4 linked regions of the Caenorhabditis elegans genome follow. The protein of the gene in region 1 interacts with the protein of each later gene in a pairwise test. Each region holds a gene or a part of one and is shown in the gene's direction. Other genes may lie near its edges. The genes, in order: gpd-3, abu-10, nekl-2 and T06E6.10.

Region 1 (4,355 bases):
AACTCGTTATTCTTTGATGTGTCACATGACACTGCCGAAACTCTTATCTGCGAAAGTGGCGTGTTCTAGAACTGATTCAAAATAGACCGGGGACTCCTTTCGAATCTCTCTATTTTACACAGTTGACCTTGATATGTTAGAGAGACGGGCGACTAGCGAGCATAATGAAGAGATAGATTGGTTTTCACAAACAATCTCTTTTTTTTTGTTTTCCACTACCTTTCAACGTTCTTCAATACTTTCATTTCAGGTTCTCGAACAACATCAGCAACGACTGAAGGAAATCGAGAAAGGACACGGAACATAAAAAATAGAGGGCTTTTCAAACGGCTCTCTGTTCTTTTTGCATCATCATTTTCAATTTTCCCTTTCTTTTTATGCATACTTATTCTCTCCTCTCTATTTTCTCTCTCACACCGCATTTCTTCATCTTGCCTATTGCATCATTTTTTTTTCGCTTACTGCACATGTTTCGTCAAATAGTAAACATGGTTTTTATGGCTTCACTTCATATTCTTCTCTCTTCAATTTGATTCGATTTTCATTTCGATCATTCTATTTTTATTTGTCGTTTGTATGTTAGTTGAACTGATTGTAGTAGTATCAATTTTCAGCCATGCCAAAGCCAAGTGTCGGAATCAACGGATTCGGAAGAATCGGACGTCTTGTCCTCCGCGCCGCTGTCGAGAAGGACAGTGTCAACGTTGTTGCCGTCAACGATCCATTCATCTCCATCGACTACATGGTCTACTTGTTCCAGTACGACTCCACCCACGGACGCTTCAAGGGAACCGTTGCTCACGAGGGAGACTACCTTCTTGTCGCCAAGGAAGGGAAGTCGCAGCACAAGATCAAGGTAGAATATTTTCCAAACATATTTTGTTAAACATTCTCTTAAATTTCAGGTCTACAACTCAAGAGACCCAGCTGAAATCCAATGGGGAGCCTCTGGAGCCGACTATGTCGTTGAGTCCACCGGAGTCTTCACCACCATCGAGAAGGCCAACGCTCACTTGAAGGGAGGAGCCAAGAAGGTAACTTGTAATCAACTTTTGTGCATAAATATATTTAAATTTTTAGGTCATCATCTCTGCTCCATCTGCTGATGCTCCAATGTTCGTCGTCGGAGTCAACCACGAGAAGTACGATCATGCCAACGACCACATCATCTCCAATGCTTCCTGCACCACTAACTGCCTTGCTCCACTTGCCAAGGTCATCAATGACAACTTCGGAATTATTGAGGGACTTATGACCACTGTCCACGCCGTCACCGCCACCCAAAAGACTGTTGACGGACCATCAGGAAAGCTCTGGAGAGACGGACGTGGAGCTGGACAGAACATCATCCCAGCCTCTACTGGAGCCGCTAAGGCTGTTGGAAAGGTTATCCCAGAGCTCAATGGAAAGCTCACCGGAATGGCTTTCCGTGTCCCAACCCCAGATGTGTCTGTTGTTGATCTCACTGCTCGTCTTGAGAAGCCAGCTTCCCTCGATGACATCAAGAAAGTTATCAAGGCTGCCGCTGACGGACCAATGAAGGGAATTCTCGCTTACACTGAGGATCAAGTTGTCTCCACCGACTTTGTCTCCGATACCAACTCTTCCATCTTCGATGCCGGAGCATCCATCTCACTCAACCCACACTTCGTCAAGCTCGTCTCGTGGTACGATAACGAGTTCGGATACTCCAACAGAGTTGTTGATCTCATCTCGTACATCGCCACCAAGGCCTAAGCTGTCTCATCCTACTTTCACCTAGTTAACTGCTTGTCTTAAAATCTATGCTTCTCTTTAGTATCTAAAATTTTCCTAGAAGCTTACAAGTATATAAATGGTCTCTTCTCAATAAAGGTTGTATATTTATTCATCTTATTGAATCTGCCATTTCCTCGTTTTTGCGAGTTTATATACCTTCCAATTTTCTTTCTATTGTATTTTCAACTTCTAATTTTAATTCAGGGAAACTGCTTCAACGCATCATGACCAAGCCAAGTGTCGGAATCAACGGATTCGGAAGAATCGGACGTCTTGTCCTCCGCGCCGCTGTCGAGAAGGACAGTGTCAATGTTGTTGCCGTCAACGATCCATTCATCTCCATCGACTACATGGTCTACTTGTTCCAGTACGATTCCACTCACGGACGCTTCAAGGGAACCGTTGCCCACGAGGGAGACTACCTTCTTGTCGCCAAGGAAGGAAAGTCCCAGCACAAGATCAAGGTAGAATTATTTCCAATTAGATTTCACCTAATATTCTATTCAATTTCAGGTCTACAACTCAAGAGACCCAGCTGAGATCCAATGGGGAGCCTCTGGAGCCGACTATGTCGTTGAGTCCACCGGAGTCTTCACCACCATCGAGAAGGCCAATGCTCACTTGAAGGGAGGAGCCAAGAAGGTAAATTAGTGATTTAATTTTTCAAGATAAATATATTTAAATTTCAGGTCATCATCTCTGCTCCATCTGCTGATGCTCCAATGTTCGTCGTCGGAGTCAACCACGAGAAGTACGATCATGCCAACGACCACATCATCTCCAATGCTTCCTGCACCACTAACTGCCTTGCTCCACTTGCCAAGGTCATCAATGACAACTTCGGAATTATTGAGGGACTTATGACCACTGTCCACGCCGTCACCGCCACCCAAAAGACTGTTGACGGACCATCAGGAAAGCTCTGGAGAGACGGACGTGGAGCTGGACAAAACATCATCCCAGCCTCTACTGGAGCCGCTAAGGCTGTCGGCAAGGTTATCCCAGAGCTCAATGGAAAGCTCACCGGAATGGCTTTCCGTGTCCCAACCCCAGATGTCTCTGTTGTTGATCTCACTGCTCGTCTTGAGAAGCCAGCTTCCCTCGATGACATTAAGAAGGTTATCAAGGCTGCCGCTGACGGACCAATGAAGGGAATTCTCGCTTACACCGAGGATCAAGTTGTCTCCACTGACTTTGTCTCCGATACCAACTCTTCCATCTTCGATGCCGGAGCATCCATCTCACTCAACCCACACTTTGTCAAGCTCGTCTCATGGTACGATAACGAGTTCGGATACTCCAACAGAGTCGTCGACCTTATCTCCTACATTGCTACCAAGGCCTAAGCCGCTTCAAATTCTCTAAGTCTGAAATGAATCTGTAACATAATAAATTCCACATTATTGTAACTTTGATTCTCATTTTCTTTATAAGAATAAATCTTTTAGCTGGAGTAACTAAAACTGTGTTGTTGGATAGAAAGCATTTTTCAATGGCTATATCAAATTTGAAACGTTGAATTCGAACCTTTCACGAGGTTTACACTCATTTATATTCTTCGTTGTGATTGTCCGTCATACAAACCCGATTAAGTTTCCGTCTAGCCTCTATGTTTACATTAAATTGAGAAGCGATGAGAAGTGTCCAGTGTAGAGTGCAATGTGCACTCAAAATGTCGGCACATTGTCACTTTGCTAACATTTTTCCCAGAGTCATTTGGGATACTTGTGTAGTCCCAAAAAATATTAACTATTAAGCTTAGGATTAGTGCTTTTCTAAGCCTGAATAGAAAACTTATTGGAAACAATTTTTGGTCACTTATGTAGTAGATGTATCACAATATATTTTCATAGGATAACTTTTTGTAATGGTAAACTCGTGAGAAATAATTATTTGTAGACCTAAAAATTCCAGATTTAATTTTAAAAATTTAATAATATTTTGGGGTACTTCTACTTTTCATCTACCTTTCCATATTTGATATTTCATTCGCAATTATACAATCTCAGAAAATTCCTATGGTCACGTTATTCTTTGTCGTAGACAGTTGAAAGATGAAGGAAAAAACGAGAATAGATATCACAAAGTCACGTGGCAAAATCCATCAACCTGTTGTTAGTGACGTTATTTTTTGCCTCAAAATGCGGGAAACGATGTACGCATGACTCTGACGAAGTCTGCCTGCTTCTACGGGTACACTTGAAATGAAGCATAGAAAGCTGGCTGCGTTTTTTTCTTGTTTCGCTTCACGCCGTTTTTCTTTTTCTCTTTATTCTCTTTATATTCTCTTTTGTGCGGGTGCGTTTCCAATTCCCCGGAGCCCATCTTCTTTTTTCCTCACTATTTCTTTTTCTTCTTCCATTTTGCCCTTCTCATCGATTCAGAAAAATTACTGGCTCGTGACAGAAAAGAAGAACCAAAAAAAAAAAGCATTTGGGGGCTCGGAACAAAATGAAGCAAATCCTCCCAAGTAAATGTAGTTTGCCGAAATAACGTGAAATTGAAATTCGATATTTTATAATAGCACTCTTTTTTTTTCTGCCACAAACGACACTAACTTCATTTTGTTTTTTTTTGTCGATCTGACACTGGCCAAC
Region 2 (4,508 bases), 690 kb from region 1:
ACTATATTTTGGCAACTCTGGCGGAGAAAAAGAGCTCGGATAAAGATCATATAGCAAAATGGTGCTTGTGAACTTTGAACCAAATCCTGATGGAACGCTGGGAGACACTTTTTGGAAACACTACAATTGGCACATACTGATATGATTTCATGATTAAAAAATTGTTATGACAGTTTAAAAGTTGGAAATATATGACTAGATATATTATATTTTGCCAATTTATTTATGCAAAAATGGTCACAAGTTAATTTTTTTTTTAATAAATAGAAACCGTGTACTCCACTGACAATCAGGCAAAAAAAAAACAGTTTCTGGAAATAATAGAAGATTTTGTTATACTTTTGTAATAAAGTTACACGCACTAGTGGACAAAAATGAAGACTACAGCAAACTTCAGTCATTTTTTTTTTATTTTTGAAAACATTTTGAAAAATTTCAAAAAGTTTCTTACAAAATCTTTTCATCTTGTGAAAAGGCTTGCAGCTACACCGTAGATCCATATTTAAAAATAACAGAAGGTTTTGTTTTATAGAGAAACCATTCACAATAAATACTAATACCTTGATGTTAATTATGAAAAAGTCAGAACTCCATGTTTCTTACGTGAAAAAAAACACTGAAAAAAACATTGTTGACCATTTTCAGAAAATAAAATTTAATGGAAACATACTTTTAGTGAATGAGTATTTAATGTAAAACTAGATCACCCTCCCCCCCCCCCCCTCCCAGCAAACTTTTGAGCTCATCCCAATGGTCTGAAAACACGCATAATTCGAAAACGTTCCTCATCACATCAAACGAACATATATTTCAAGTACATGCGTTTTTGCGGGCACACTGATAAAACAGAGCCGGCACAGAGTGCTCACGTACCGGTTCTCGTACGTTGCTCAACTCTCCTGTAACATGACCACCCCTGAGCTTTTAATCCGATTCCGGCGCAACTTTTTGTGCTGCTTTCCTTCATCCTCAGACACAAACATTGCAACCTTTTATCCAGCCGGCAATCGAACTCAACTCAACCCCTCAACCGGTATCTAAAGTAAAGGCAAGCGGTCTGAGTAATGAAGAATGTGATAATTGGGGTTCTTTGTATTTGTTTGTTGGGAGGGAGAAGAATCAACGAGAGATTGTGCAAATGCAACAGCTGAAAGCGTTAACCAGTTTCTCAGCTTGTATTCTTCTATGACGCGGTCTCTATTTACGGACTATTTGCAAATAACGCATCACTTGAACTTTTCAATGCAAGTGTTCGGAGATTGAAAGTTCTGTGTCACTACATTCACGTATTGTTGAAAACTATAACGGATATATTACAAGACGGTCTAGACAAAAATTGGGAAAAAAAGCTCTACTGAAAATGGGATATTAAACTACTACCTTTCAGAAATACTTTCAGAACAATATTACTTGATACAAAAGAAAGATCTTCAAAATAGCTTGCTGGTACTCCAACTAAAAAGATATAATAATCAATTTTTTTTTTACAAATCGGTGCAAAATAGTCGTTCGTTTACTAGTCATGCTTTGAAAAAATTTAAGCTTAACAATGCAACCTAACCTCGATTTTTTTCAAATTAAATTACAATTTCAAATGAGAATAAAGAGAACCTTCTACAACTTGAACATTCTGTGAACTATTGGAAAACACTGGACATTGAATGAAACAAAATTTTTAAACATTCACATTTGCGACGTTGGGCCGTTATTTATTGTCTCGAAAGAGGAAAAAAATGTCTGACAAATTGGAAAAGTACAGTAGATTCAACTGTCACACTTTTTTGTAAAGTAGGGCCTAAAATTAGTAGACTCGAGTTTTGAATTGGTGAGCCAATATCTCTCTTGACACAATTGAAGTGTTTTTAAACTGGTTAGAAGACTAGACTGAAATATATTATAGCTAACATCACTTTGGATAGTATGCGTCTTCGGCAAAATTTCATGTGCGCAAGAAGCCAAAAACAAACAATGTTTATTTGTGTGCACGCATTTTTTCAGCACACGGTTTTCATTTTCTCTGACTAAACTTTTTTCCCCCTCCTTACCATATTCCCACAGGTGCTCTAATCCGATCATAACTACTCATCTGTGTTTGATGCACAATTGAAACTGCCTTCGTTCTTTTTTGTCGCCTGTTCTTGCGCATGCCGGTCTTACCCTCTTGCCATGACTCCTCCCGGCGGGCGCGTATAAATATGAGGAGCAAAAGTTGAGTTGTCAGTAGTAGCTTGGCTTCGAATACTCTCTAACAAAAGCAGCAATGTTCCGCTCTGCATTTTCAATTTTTGCTATTGTCGCCCTGGTGAGATTTCTTTTTTTTTTCATTCCATTTTATTTATAAATTCCCCGCCATTTTCAGGCACTTTCGGCACCAACTCTTAGAGAAAAGCGTCAGGCTTGCTCATGCGCCCCAGTTCAGCAGCAACCATCGTGCTGCCAACAATCCACCATCAATGTCCAGGTTCAGTACACTCAGGTCCAACAAGCTCCAGCTCAAGACCCATGTGCTTGCCAGCCACAGCAGCAGCAGCCTGCGTGCAACTGTGCTCCAGTTCAGCAAGATCCATGTGCTTGCCAGCCACAACAGCAGCAGCCGGCTTGTAACTGTGCTCCAGTTCAACAAGATCCATGCGCCTGCCAGCAACAGCAACCATCCTGCGATTGCGCTCCAGTTCAACAGCAACCAGCCTGTGACTGCCAGGTAGGCTGTTAATGTAAGAGCGACGAATAAAAGTAACCCATCTTTGCAGCCACAACAACAACCAGCCTGTGATTGTGCTCCAGTTGCTCAACAACCAGCTTGTGACTGCCAACAAAACCCATCATGTGTGACCTGCATCCAAATCGAGATCCGTCAGCAACAAGCTCAACAGCCAGCTTGCGATTGTGCTCCAGTTCAGCAGAACCCATGTTGCCAACAAGCTCAGGTACAATATATTTGGTAAATGTTGGATGAACTTTTGAAGTTTCAGCCAGCCTGTGATTGCGCTCCAGTCCAACAGCAACCATCTTGCGATTGCGCTCCAGTTCAACAGAACCCATGCTGCCAACAAGCTCAGGTATGGCATTTTGAACAATTTTTTTTAGTCCGGTAATTTCAGCCAGCCTGCGACTGTGCCCCAGTCCAACAGCAACCAGCCTGTGATTGTGCTCCAGTCCAGCAGAACCCATGCTGCCAACAACAGGCTCAGGTAAATCACACTCCAGAGTTTTCCATTAAGTTTGTGAATTACAGTCAACTTGCGACTGTGCCCCAGTTCAACAGAACCCGTGCTGCCAACAAGCTCAGCCAGCTTGTGATTGTGCCCCAGTTGTTCAGCAAAACCCATGCGCTTGCCAACAGGCTCAGGTAAAGACTATTGCTTTTTGACCAGTAAATTAACTATGGATATCTAAACTTCCAGCCATCCTGTGATTGCGCCCAACAAGCTCAGCCAACCTTCCAAGTCCAAGTTCAACAAGCGCAACCAATCAATCAGTGCGTCCCAGCTTGCCAGCCAGCTTGCCAGTCATCGTGCACCGCTTCGTACACCAACCAACAATCCCAACATTCGTCAGCTACTACTTCCTGCGATGCTAACCAATGCGTATGCCAACGCGGATACGTCAAGTGCGCCGAGCAGACCTGCTGTCTTAGATACAGATACACCAACCGCAAGGCAAAGCGATCGATCGCCTAAACGAACTCATTTCTGACCATGTCTTTCTTTTTCGACTTCACGCAAACTATTTGTACATTTCGGTAATATTATTGCCATTACATAAAGTAGTTTTATATTATTTCCTTTTACACAATGAGTATATGCAATGAAGATATAAATGAAAAAATGATTAAGAATCATTTCTATGATGTTCAAATTACCAATTTTCGTCTAAATTACAACAAAATCACTGAAAAAGATTTGAGAAAAATGCAATTTTCTTTTAGGAAACTCTATTTGAAGTTTGAAAACCAGAAGATTTTCACAAAGGGTTGGTTCTATCATTATCTAAAACAGCAATCGTAGAAGAGATTTGAGAGTTTTCTTCAAAACTAAACTTTTTATATTGTGTTCAATATTGTTAACGAATTTTTGATCTTTAAATTTCCCATTTATTTTAAATCTAAATAACCTATACAATAATAAGCGCATTTGAGGAGTCAAATAAATAGACACATTTCAATTGAGATCTTCCACAATAAATAAGACACCTTACTAAAACATTTTTGGCACATGAACAAAGTACTAAGACAATAAATTAATGAATGCAGCGTTTCTAGAGCAGCTCAATATAGCTGACAGGCAATTTTCCGCGTTTTCCTCCTTTTTCAGCCATCACATATTCCGCATCCATTCCAGGAAGGCGATACACGATGAGAATCTGCAACAAGAGCAGACGTAATTTCACACAATATTTGGTTTCAATAGGGGTCCTCCTCTCAAGACTCACATCATTCTGGGTGACGCTGATCTCTTGTGGCAGCACTGCATCGTAGTCCATGATCACTTTGGCTTGCTTGGTTCCCA
Region 3 (5,028 bases), on another chromosome or scaffold:
CAGCAATTTTGACGATTTCCTTGTGAATGAGACAGTTTCGAGCGGCAATGTCGCGGTGGATGCATCTGAAAAAGTAGATTACAGTGAACCAGTTCTTTGGAAGTGAGGAAAAAACCACAAAAAATCTCTCACTATCATATCACATGTCTTGGGTGAAAAATCAGAAAGAAACTAACTTCTTCTTGTGCAAGTACTCTATCCCACATGCAGCGTGATAAGTGTACATGATCCTTGTCTTTGTGCTCAACTTGGCTCCCTTTTCCACTAGTTTATCCTCTACCGATCCACCGTTACAAAGCTCCAGAACCAGCAAGTATGGAATATCATCAACAATGTATCCATAGAACTTTACAATATTTGGATGGTCATAGAGTTGCATAACTCTCGCTTCCTTCATCATCTCGGCTAATGATTCTTCGTCGTTTCCTTCAGTGTCAAGTTTTTTTACAGCAATTTTGGTATTGTTCTTGGTGAGACGGCCAAGATAGACGGTTCCGTAGGCTCCACTACCAAGCTGAAAATTAAGGTTTTCAGGTATTGAAGCCTCTTTCATTAATAATTAATACCTTCTTTTTAAAGTCCACATCTTTATGCATTAATTGGAACTTTCCCTTGGGAATCGCACGTTTCAAGATCACCCGTTCTCCTTTGATTTCCATAGTTTCTTTTTGCATTGAGTCAACCAGCTTCCCAATATTAGGAGCTGATTTTCCCTGAAAACAATATTAAATTTGTTAGTTAGAAGTACGGTGCATGCATACCCCAATCTTTGCAGAAGTCGGATTCCGTTTGATTTCGAAACGACGTATTCCTTTTTTCAAACGAACAGCCAAGTAGAGTTGCTGAAATAAATTCACTTTTGAAGATTATTTAAACTAAATTGGCAAACCATTTTGTTCAATTCCTGATTCATTTTTACAACAATCATGTAGTCACCGTCATTCTGAAAAAAATTAAAATCGTTTATGTTGAAAAATCCAACGTTCTTCAAATTTGAAACCAATTCCATCTGGAAATCCATCTAGACAGTTATTGTGTTCACCAGGACCCTTGTAAGATCGCTGTAGACGCTCATCACGTTACGTTTGTGTTGAGCGCGTGCTCGCGATAGGTCCATTGTGGTCACTGATTGAGTCAATATGTGTACAGTGGATACGAAATGACATAAGATCCACGGATAAAGCGCCCTCTAAATTGTCACTTACAACTAGAAGCTGATCAGCATCCTGGTTCATGAGTGCACCATGATAATACGGTAGGTTAATGTCCTCTTCAAGAATCCTGAATTCATGAAGATTTTAACAACAACCGCATTTAAATTCAACTCACTTTTCTTTGTTAGCCATTTCCGCGTTGGATAAAAACTAAGAACTGAACTTGGAGCGAAGTTCAAAACCTTTTTATTGAAAGGTGGAGGGGGGAGGGAATGAGTTCACGTTGTCATCATTTTATTAAAATTAAAATCAATTTTTCAAACAAAGAATTCTTTTTTTCCTATTTATTAGTATTGCCTGCAAGTCTAATTTTCAATTGGTCAGTGCATGAAAAATTTTTTATGTATCATTTTGTATCCAAGACTGCTTGTTTTTACCTACAAAAACTGCAATTTTGCCTAGAAATAAACCAGAATACTGCATAATAATAGCCAACATGACTTTTAAAAAGGCTTAAATTTGTGTGGTGTAAGCAGATAAACGGCAGTTTATTTGCAGTTAAATGGCAGATGGCACACCTCTGGTGCTATATATTTGTCCCCCCAACTAACTGCTGGCGGTCTGCCAACTTTCTGCCAATTAAAAATAGCCGTTCTATCTGTGTATCCATTGCTCCAGGTGGCCAAAGTTTTCTATTATTTCTCTAGAATTGAGTTTTTTATGCCATTTTTTTGAGGTCAAACAATCTTTTATAATTTAGAGAATATGTCTTCGAAGAGAAACATTAATTGATTTGTTTGATTGATTTCTTGCCGTTTCGTTGAAATTGTTAACCAAAATAAAGCGAACAGTGTTCGTGTGTTCGTTTTACAGGTTAAACTTATCACATGAAAAACCACTAGGATCTGTCAAAGAGACAAGTGATATATAAAAAATGCGCGGCATTTTTCAATGACTTCCCCAATCCCTTTGATAATAAACCTGTTCTTTCAGAGAGACGCAGAAGAAGAACACCGTCGGTTATTGATTATTTTTCACTGATTAGTCACGTCTTCACATTTTTCTAGAATTTATAGTTTTGAATCCTATCTATTCAAATATTATTTTCAAATGGACAATTATGAAAAAGTGCGTGTCGTCGGACGTGGTGCTTTTGGAGTTTGTTGGCTGTGTCGCGGTAAAAATGATGCATCACATCAAAAGGTTAGTCAGACAATTGTAATAGTTTCGTTGGACTCTTTTACATTTGAAGCCTGGTATGGTTTAATTTAGGGAAAATAATCAATTTTTAGAAATACTTATTTTATTGGAAAATCAGTTTTTTTTTCAAATAGCAGTACTGTGTTATAATCTACTAACTTTATAATTTAATTTTTCAGGTAATTATAAAACTCATCAATACTCACGGAATGACTGAAAAAGAGGAAAATAGCATTCAGAGTGAAGTAAATTTGTTGAAAAAAGTTCAACATCCATTAATAATCGGGTATATTGATTCTTTTATTATGGATAATCAACTTGGAATTGGTAAGTAAATTTAATTTTAAAATTGAATTAAAATTCGATATGTTCAGTTATGCAGTACGCGGAAGGAGGAACATTAGAGAGATTAATAAATGATCAGAGAGCGATTAAAGATTCAAACATGAGAGAATATTTTCCCGAAAAAACTGTTTTAGATTATTTTACACAGGTTAGTTATCATCTTAACTTTTTACTGAAACAAATATTTTTGAAGATTCTTATTGCACTCAATCATATGCACCAGAAAAATATCGTTCATCGTGACCTTAAGCCTCAAAACATTCTTATGAATCGCCGAAAGACTGTTCTGAAGCTATCGGATTTTGGAATTTCAAAGGAGCTTGGAACGAAATCTGCAGCGTCGACTGTTATTGGAACTCCAAACTATTTAAGCCCTGAAATTTGTGAAAGTATGTCAATTTCATTTTAATAATCATGAAAATATAATATTCAGGTCGCCCGTACAATCAAAAAAGTGACATGTGGTCTTTAGGATGTGTTTTGTATGAGCTTCTTCAGCTTGAAAGAGCATTTGACGGCGAAAATTTACCAGCCATTGTAATGAAAATCACCCGGGTATGTACCAAAAAAGGATAGGTCCCAAAACCCTTGCATTGTTCCCTGATGTTAAATTTTTAAATTTAATCATGTATCACTCAATTTCCAGTCAAAGCAAAACCCGTTGGGAGATCACGTATCAAACGATGTGAAGATGTTAGTGGAAAACTTACTTAAAACACACACGGATAAGAGACCGGACGTATCACGTAAAAAAAATTTCCACACTTGGAAATGTAATCGATTAATTTTCAGAGCTGCTTTCCGATCCACTTGTTCTTCCCTATTTGATATCAATTCATTGCGATTTGGGAAGAATCGAACCTCCACCGACGGATAAGGTAATTTTTAATTGTATTAGTGTTTTGATTTAGAGAAAAATGTCATGTTTACTATCTGGCCTTAACAGGGAATCATAATTCAGTTTTAAAGAAACCATCGACGTCATGCTAGTAAAAATAAATTCCTAGCGAGTTCTGTAGGTCAAACAGCGGAAAATATAAAAGCATGCTTTTGTTCTAATCTTCTTAATTAAATACCAGATAAATTACATTCTGAAATAGTGCTGGAAAACCAAAAAATTATTGAAAAACCTCTGTAACACATCAAAAATGATCACTTGATCGCACAGAATCCGGATTTTTTTCAGCCGTACTTTGAAATGATGTTCATTACTTGTCATGAATTTTATTTTTTTCAGAGAAAGCCATCAGCTTCATTGAGCAGTCGACTTCGAACGTATCCAACACAATCAACACTTCGTCCGTATTCTTTATCATCAAATGCTCCAACTACCCATTTGACACAATTAACACCAATGCCATCTCATATTGATTCTGGATTCTTTTCAAGTGGAAGAACATCAAATCAGAGAACACAATCAAGAAGTCAAGTGCATTCAAAGTATTAACTCCTGTATTAATTGTTTGTTTCTTTAAAATTAAAATTGAAGTTATTTTTTCACATAAAAACCAATCATTCGGAAGTGGGCAAAATATCACAAATGTTACTGTACGGGAAATGAGAAAGTGGACAAAACAAAGTATGCTAGGTATGATCTTTGTACAAAAGATTACGGTAGGTGAGAACAATGTTGTGGCCGAGATTTGTAAATGAGTTTGGTCGAGCAGGTGGTTGTTCACGTTGAGGATCCAGTTCAGCATTCGGAGATCGGGTTCGGGCTCGTCTTTCTGAGGCGCGCGCATTCCTCTGTTTGAAACTGAAATATTTGGATTTTAATTCATATGTAGTGCAAGTTTTTTGCCCTAAACCTACGGTACATGTATGTTTTATTCAAGTTGACAGGCAATTGCCTTTTTAAGGTCCCTATGAGAAATGGATAACCATGGTATTATTGTAGCAAAAACCGTAACAACAAGGAGTTGAGAGTTACAGTACTCCTCAAAGCCACCCACTCGGCAAAACGGCCTAACTTCATAGCATACTCTTGCAACTTCTTAACAACAATTAGGCATTTTAGCTTTTAGGCAAACTTCTGCAGCTTTTCAGACGACTTTTGCAATTTCTTAGCAGATGTAAAGCTAAATTTCGCTCACAATCCCGTTGGTTTTCGCAACTTCTTAACAGCTTTTTACAAAGTTATATAAATGTTTTTATTAAGTTGCAGGAGTATGCTATGAAGTTGCGACGTTTTGCCGAGGCATTTCTTTGATTGTCTTTTATGTTATATCCCGTGAATATGTGACATATGTAAGTAGTTGATTTCTTTAAACTCACTTCATACTATTCCGATCACCAAGGTTTCTTGAAGTTGTTTCCAAAAATCCATTTG
Region 4 (4,475 bases), on another chromosome or scaffold:
TAAATGTTCATTGGCAGCTGAACTGGGAAATTCCGTGATGGTTTTGATACTATTTATGTATATGAAACAATTAGTTCATGAATAATTTTTTTGAAAATGTTCAGTATATTAACTAAAAATAAAGCACACACGAGCGTTATAATAAATAAGTTTTGCTAGATTTGTTAGATTCCAAAAAAGTAATGCCATATTTTGTACGAAACTGTGATTTTTGTTTCTGGGTGTTAGAAAACACCTGTCGAAACTTCAATATAAAATACTCCTTAAAAGCTCAGGTGAAACTTAAAAGTCTTATTGATCCCATTCTACTTTTTGATTCAAAAATGATGTTTATGGAAAGTCCGGATTTCTTATTTTATTCTCTACATGGAATGGGAGCTGTCACTTGCCCTCTCCAAATACTCGGTCTTTATTGCATTCTATTCAAAACACCACAAACAATGAATTCTGTCAAATGGGTACTTTTGAATTCTCATATTTGGTCCCTTATCTTCGATATAACAGTTACTGCACTAACCATCACATTTCTAGTTTTTCCAGTTCTCGGAACAGTTCCACTAGGTTTTCTAACGACATTATTCGGAGTTCCAATTGATATTCAGGCATATTTGGTGTTCACACTTCTATTCAGTATGACGCCACTCATTTTCAAACTCCACTTTTTAATCAAATTAATCTCAACTTTCAGCGGTCTTGTTCTCAGACATGCTGATCTTCGAAAATCGCTACTATCAATTATTTGCAAAAAACAAAAGTTGGCGGCACTTTCGCGTTCCATTCATTATCATTAATTATGGTGCCGTTGGAATTTTCATGCTTCCGACGTTTTTGAATACTCCTGATCAGTTACAAGCTATTGATTTAGCTTTCAAGGTGACCGTTTATTTGTAGTAGTAGCTGAACTAGGCTTTCTATATATGCTCCGACGAGGCGCTTCCGCCTGCCTTCGAGTTCCATCATCGGCTTTACGCCGTCACTAACGCCACCAGTTAGAACAAACTTAAAACTTTCTAGGTGAGAGATAGCTGACAATGTGCCGGGTAAATTTGGCATATGTTTATGTTAAGTTATCATAATTGAAATAAGTATAAACATGCATTTTAGCCAAATTATGAACAGTATATTTCAGCAAGTTCCGAACCTTCCCGTTGAACTCAGATCCATGAACTTTTTCATATGGGCAACAGATTTCAAACTTTTTCTGGGATCTTTCATCTTCATCACAGCATTTCAACTTACGGAATTTGTTCCTTTGATTTTAATAACTGATTGGAATGTGAGATCGTCAATCAAGAAATCAACGCAGTCACGGCAAACAATGCAACTTCAGTTGAAGTTCTTAATGGCTTTATATGCACAGGTGAGCCAAAAAAAAAACTCTCACCAAAGTTGAAATAATAAATTCAGAGCGGGGCATTTTTCTTGACTTGTTTTACTCCATACGTATATATGTTGTATTCTTGTTTCACAAACTACTACAATCCCATTGCCAACAATTTTATTTTCATTTTTGTGGCAGCACGTGGATCGTTCTGCACGGTAATTCTGCTCTCGGCATATAAGCCTTATAAGAAAGCAGTAGTCAATATCTTCCGGTTAATTAGCTCCTCGATCGGTTGTTTCAAAACTCAGCCAATTGTGAATCCAATAGGAATAATTATATCTAATCAAAATACTTCTTTGTTTTGATATATTGTATTCTAAAAAGCTAGCAAAAAAATGTTGCCAGTATACATTGTACCACTATAAATCACATTGAAAATCTACATGAAAACATTTTTCCGGTCCAGCCTAATTTTCAGTTTGAATTGTGGCTCATGAAACTTCTAATATGTTAATTTGTTATCAATTGATTCAATATTACACACAGACACGACAGTTGTCTTCAATAAACGTTTTAATTTTCTTCTTTTTTTTCACATAGCCCAACTGACCTTCTTGAACTTTGTTCAGCCAATTTTTTTTCATTACAAGCAGGCTTAGAGAGAGAGACAGATATTTCTTCTTCAACGAGTGATGTTTCTGACTTGTGATTTGTTACCTTCATCAGTAAACGGGCGACATAGTGTACGCCTAATCTTTTTTTTTAATATAAAAATATATATTTGAATTCATTTGTTATAAACTATTAAAAAATGTTTTATAGAATCGTTTTTAAAAAATACCATAAAATTTATAAAAACTTAATACAATTCAATTTTTTAGGTGATTCTGGTGCTACTAGCCATGATTTTGTTGATACTTCTGAGCTCTTTGATCATGGGAGCAAGTACAGGTGAGAGTTTTGAAAAATGTGCCTGCAACTGACATACAACCTTTTTTCAGGAAAAACTGGAATAACTTGCGCCAATGTTAGATGTGGAAGCCCTGGAGGCTGTGGAATGGTTGCTAGTTGCCCGGACTGTGAGCCAGGACCAGAGTGCTTGGAAAAGAATGGTAAGCGGTTCGGAGAAAAAAAACGTATTTTAAATTCAAAAATTTCAGATTGCAATACCAAAAGCTGTGCTCCAACAGAGGAATGTGTATTGGTCCAAGTAACCTGTATTATGGCGCCATGGTGGGAATTTTTTAAACGAAACTATTTTTAGTGATTTTTAAAAATGACCGGTAAGATGTCGGCTGCGAGGGATAAAATAACAAATTCTCCATTTTTTAAAACTAATTTTCAAATGATCCGAAAATCAATGAGTTTTAGCTACCCAATCGCTGAATGTCGTCCGAAAAAAACACAAATCCGCAAGCGTCGTCAAGTGGGAACAAGTTGTAAAGATGTTCGATGTGACACGCCAGCCGGATGTGCGATGGTTAGGCCAAGTGGATGTATGGATTCGCCTACAATGACCGGATGCGAGCTTAAACCGACTTGTATTCATGTAAATGGTGAGTGCTTGGAAGATTTCAGCTGCTGCACTTAATAAGTCGGTCGCAACTTCTTAGGTGCCAGCTTCTACCCTCAATGTGTCGGTGGCGTATTTCTGAATTTCCAGCTTGTACAACCACAAAATGTTCACCCGGCAAGAAGTGTGCTCTTCACACTGTTCAATGCTTTACCACACCCTGGTAGGTACTTTTTTTTAAAATTGTTTTTATTGTTCATGTTCCAGTGACCCAGTAGCAAAATGCGAGACTCCACTTAACTTTTTATCGGAGCCATTCAATCCAGGATGCGGTCCGAATGAGCATTTTGTTGGGTGCAAAAATATTTGCTCTGACACCAAGTGCAATGAAAAACGGGTACGTGGATCAATGAAAAATTCGAGAAAAACAATTTTTGCAGAAAATGTGCCCAGCGGTGTGCACTTTTCCCGGATGCGTCTGTCTGAATGGATTTTTCCGCGATAAACATGACAAATGTGTTACCCAGGAAGAGTGTGATGAGCAGAAGAGGAAAAGTATTAAATCGTAACTAGAAAGAACTTTTTTATTTCCAAATATTTTGCTGAAACTATAATAAACTGCCCAATTTTTTCTAAAGTTGCCAAATGGATTTTCAGATGTTGTTTTCTGTAAACCTTCAAGGCTCAAGTAATCATTGTGTTTGACTTTGCCAGTTTCGTTAAGAAAATGCCATAAAAGAGGACGATTTTGAACGTATAAACTCCAATGTGCTCAAATTGGCGAATTTTGAATTGAGACTTCTCAATATTTTTTAAAAATGATCTAATGGCCGAGTCTATACGTTCAAATTTCCTCCGAACCATTAGTCCTCCTATAATTCCAGGATTCCAAAAACGGTACGTGATCTTGAAACATTATGATTTCTGTTTCTCGGTGCACGGAAACATCTGTCGCAATACTTTAACCACCAAAACGAGGTACGCCTCTGAAGCTCAGGTGAAATTCAACTCAAGTTGTATGAAAATTAATCTCCTTCATATTATATTGAAAAATTATGTTTATGGAAAGCCCGGACTTTCTTTTCTATACTCTACACAGTATGGGCGCTTTTACGTGACCTCTTCAAGTATTTGGACTTTATTGTATTCTATTCAAAACTCCACAAGCAATGAAATCGGTAAAATGGGTTCTATTCAATGCTCATATTTGGTCTATCCTATTTGATATATCACTTACTGCATTAACCATTCCATTTCTAGTGTTCCCAGTTCTCGGAGCAGTCCCTTTAGGCTTTTTAACGACATTATTCGGAGTTCCAATTGGCATTCAGGCGTATTTGGTGTTTACACTTTTATTCGGTATGACATTAATTATGTTTAATTCAATGTTAGTGTTCAAAAATGTACAGTTTTGAAAGTTGAAAATATGTTTTTGTCTATTTTCAGCTGTGTTGTACTCCGATCTGTTGATCTTCGAAAACCGTTATTACCAGTTTTTTGGCAAAAATAAGGCTTGGCGTCACTTTCGAATACCGATGATGATTTTCAATTACACCTTCGTTGGAACGTTTATGCTACCCACGTTTTTGAATACTCCTGATCAGTTACAAGCAATTGACTTAGCATTCAAGGTTATTG

Evidence for each region.
Region 2: the proteins of gpd-3 (region 1) and abu-10 interact in a two-hybrid assay, tested with the Caenorhabditis elegans proteins (one large-scale study listed by BioGRID).
Region 3: the proteins of gpd-3 (region 1) and nekl-2 interact in a two-hybrid assay, tested with the Caenorhabditis elegans proteins (one large-scale study listed by BioGRID).
Region 4: the proteins of gpd-3 (region 1) and T06E6.10 interact in a two-hybrid assay, tested with the Caenorhabditis elegans proteins (one large-scale study listed by BioGRID).

Annotation. Positions count from the first base shown.
Region 1 is NC_003284.9:3,110,949-3,115,303, reverse strand, and holds gpd-3 (Glyceraldehyde-3-phosphate dehydrogenase 3), read left to right. Parts: upstream 1-1,962; 5' UTR 1,963-1,982; coding exon 1,983-2,222; intron 2,223-2,271; coding exon 2,272-2,400; intron 2,401-2,447; coding exon 2,448-3,104; 3' UTR 3,105-3,213; downstream 3,214-4,355. Other genes in the region: mai-1 (ATPase inhibitor mai-1, mitochondrial), read left to right, coding at 251-307; gpd-2 (Glyceraldehyde-3-phosphate dehydrogenase 2), read left to right, coding at 617-856, 906-1,034, 1,081-1,737.
Region 2 is NC_003284.9:3,795,963-3,800,470, forward strand, and holds abu-10 (Activated in Blocked Unfolded protein response), read left to right. Parts: upstream 1-2,219; 5' UTR 2,220-2,260; coding exon 2,261-2,302; intron 2,303-2,359; coding exon 2,360-2,701; intron 2,702-2,750; coding exon 2,751-2,927; intron 2,928-2,972; coding exon 2,973-3,059; intron 3,060-3,101; coding exon 3,102-3,191; intron 3,192-3,235; coding exon 3,236-3,349; intron 3,350-3,404; coding exon 3,405-3,680; 3' UTR 3,681-3,779; downstream 3,780-4,508. Other genes in the region: F35A5.8 (SH3 domain-containing GRB2-like protein B1), read right to left, coding at 4,258-4,362, 4,432-4,508.
Region 3 is NC_003279.8:6,660,942-6,665,969, forward strand, and holds nekl-2 (Serine/threonine-protein kinase nekl-2), read left to right. Parts: upstream 1-2,192; 5' UTR 2,193-2,264; coding exon 2,265-2,357; intron 2,358-2,533; coding exon 2,534-2,681; intron 2,682-2,728; coding exon 2,729-2,847; intron 2,848-2,892; coding exon 2,893-3,088; intron 3,089-3,132; coding exon 3,133-3,254; intron 3,255-3,345; coding exon 3,346-3,445; intron 3,446-3,491; coding exon 3,492-3,577; intron 3,578-3,936; coding exon 3,937-4,146; 3' UTR 4,147-4,219; downstream 4,220-5,028. Other genes in the region: ZC581.7 (Tyrosine-protein kinase), read right to left, coding at 1-65, 177-514, 567-713, 762-842, 890-943, 1,206-1,281, 1,330-1,346; ZC581.9 (Protein kinase domain-containing protein), read right to left, coding at 4,284-4,455, 4,974-5,028. UniProt on the Caenorhabditis elegans protein: Probable serine/threonine-protein kinase required for the completion of molting. May play a role in endocytosis in the hypodermis syncytium.
Region 4 is NC_003283.11:15,415,928-15,420,402, forward strand, and holds T06E6.10 (TIL domain-containing protein), read left to right. Parts: upstream 1-2,194; 5' UTR 2,195-2,226; coding exon 2,227-2,275; intron 2,276-2,325; coding exon 2,326-2,436; intron 2,437-2,484; coding exon 2,485-2,557; intron 2,558-2,695; coding exon 2,696-2,880; intron 2,881-2,987; coding exon 2,988-3,060; intron 3,061-3,104; coding exon 3,105-3,234; intron 3,235-3,277; coding exon 3,278-3,406; 3' UTR 3,407-3,474; downstream 3,475-4,475. Other genes in the region: srh-265 (Serpentine Receptor, class H), read left to right, coding at 324-630, 689-873, 1,130-1,360, 1,408-1,689.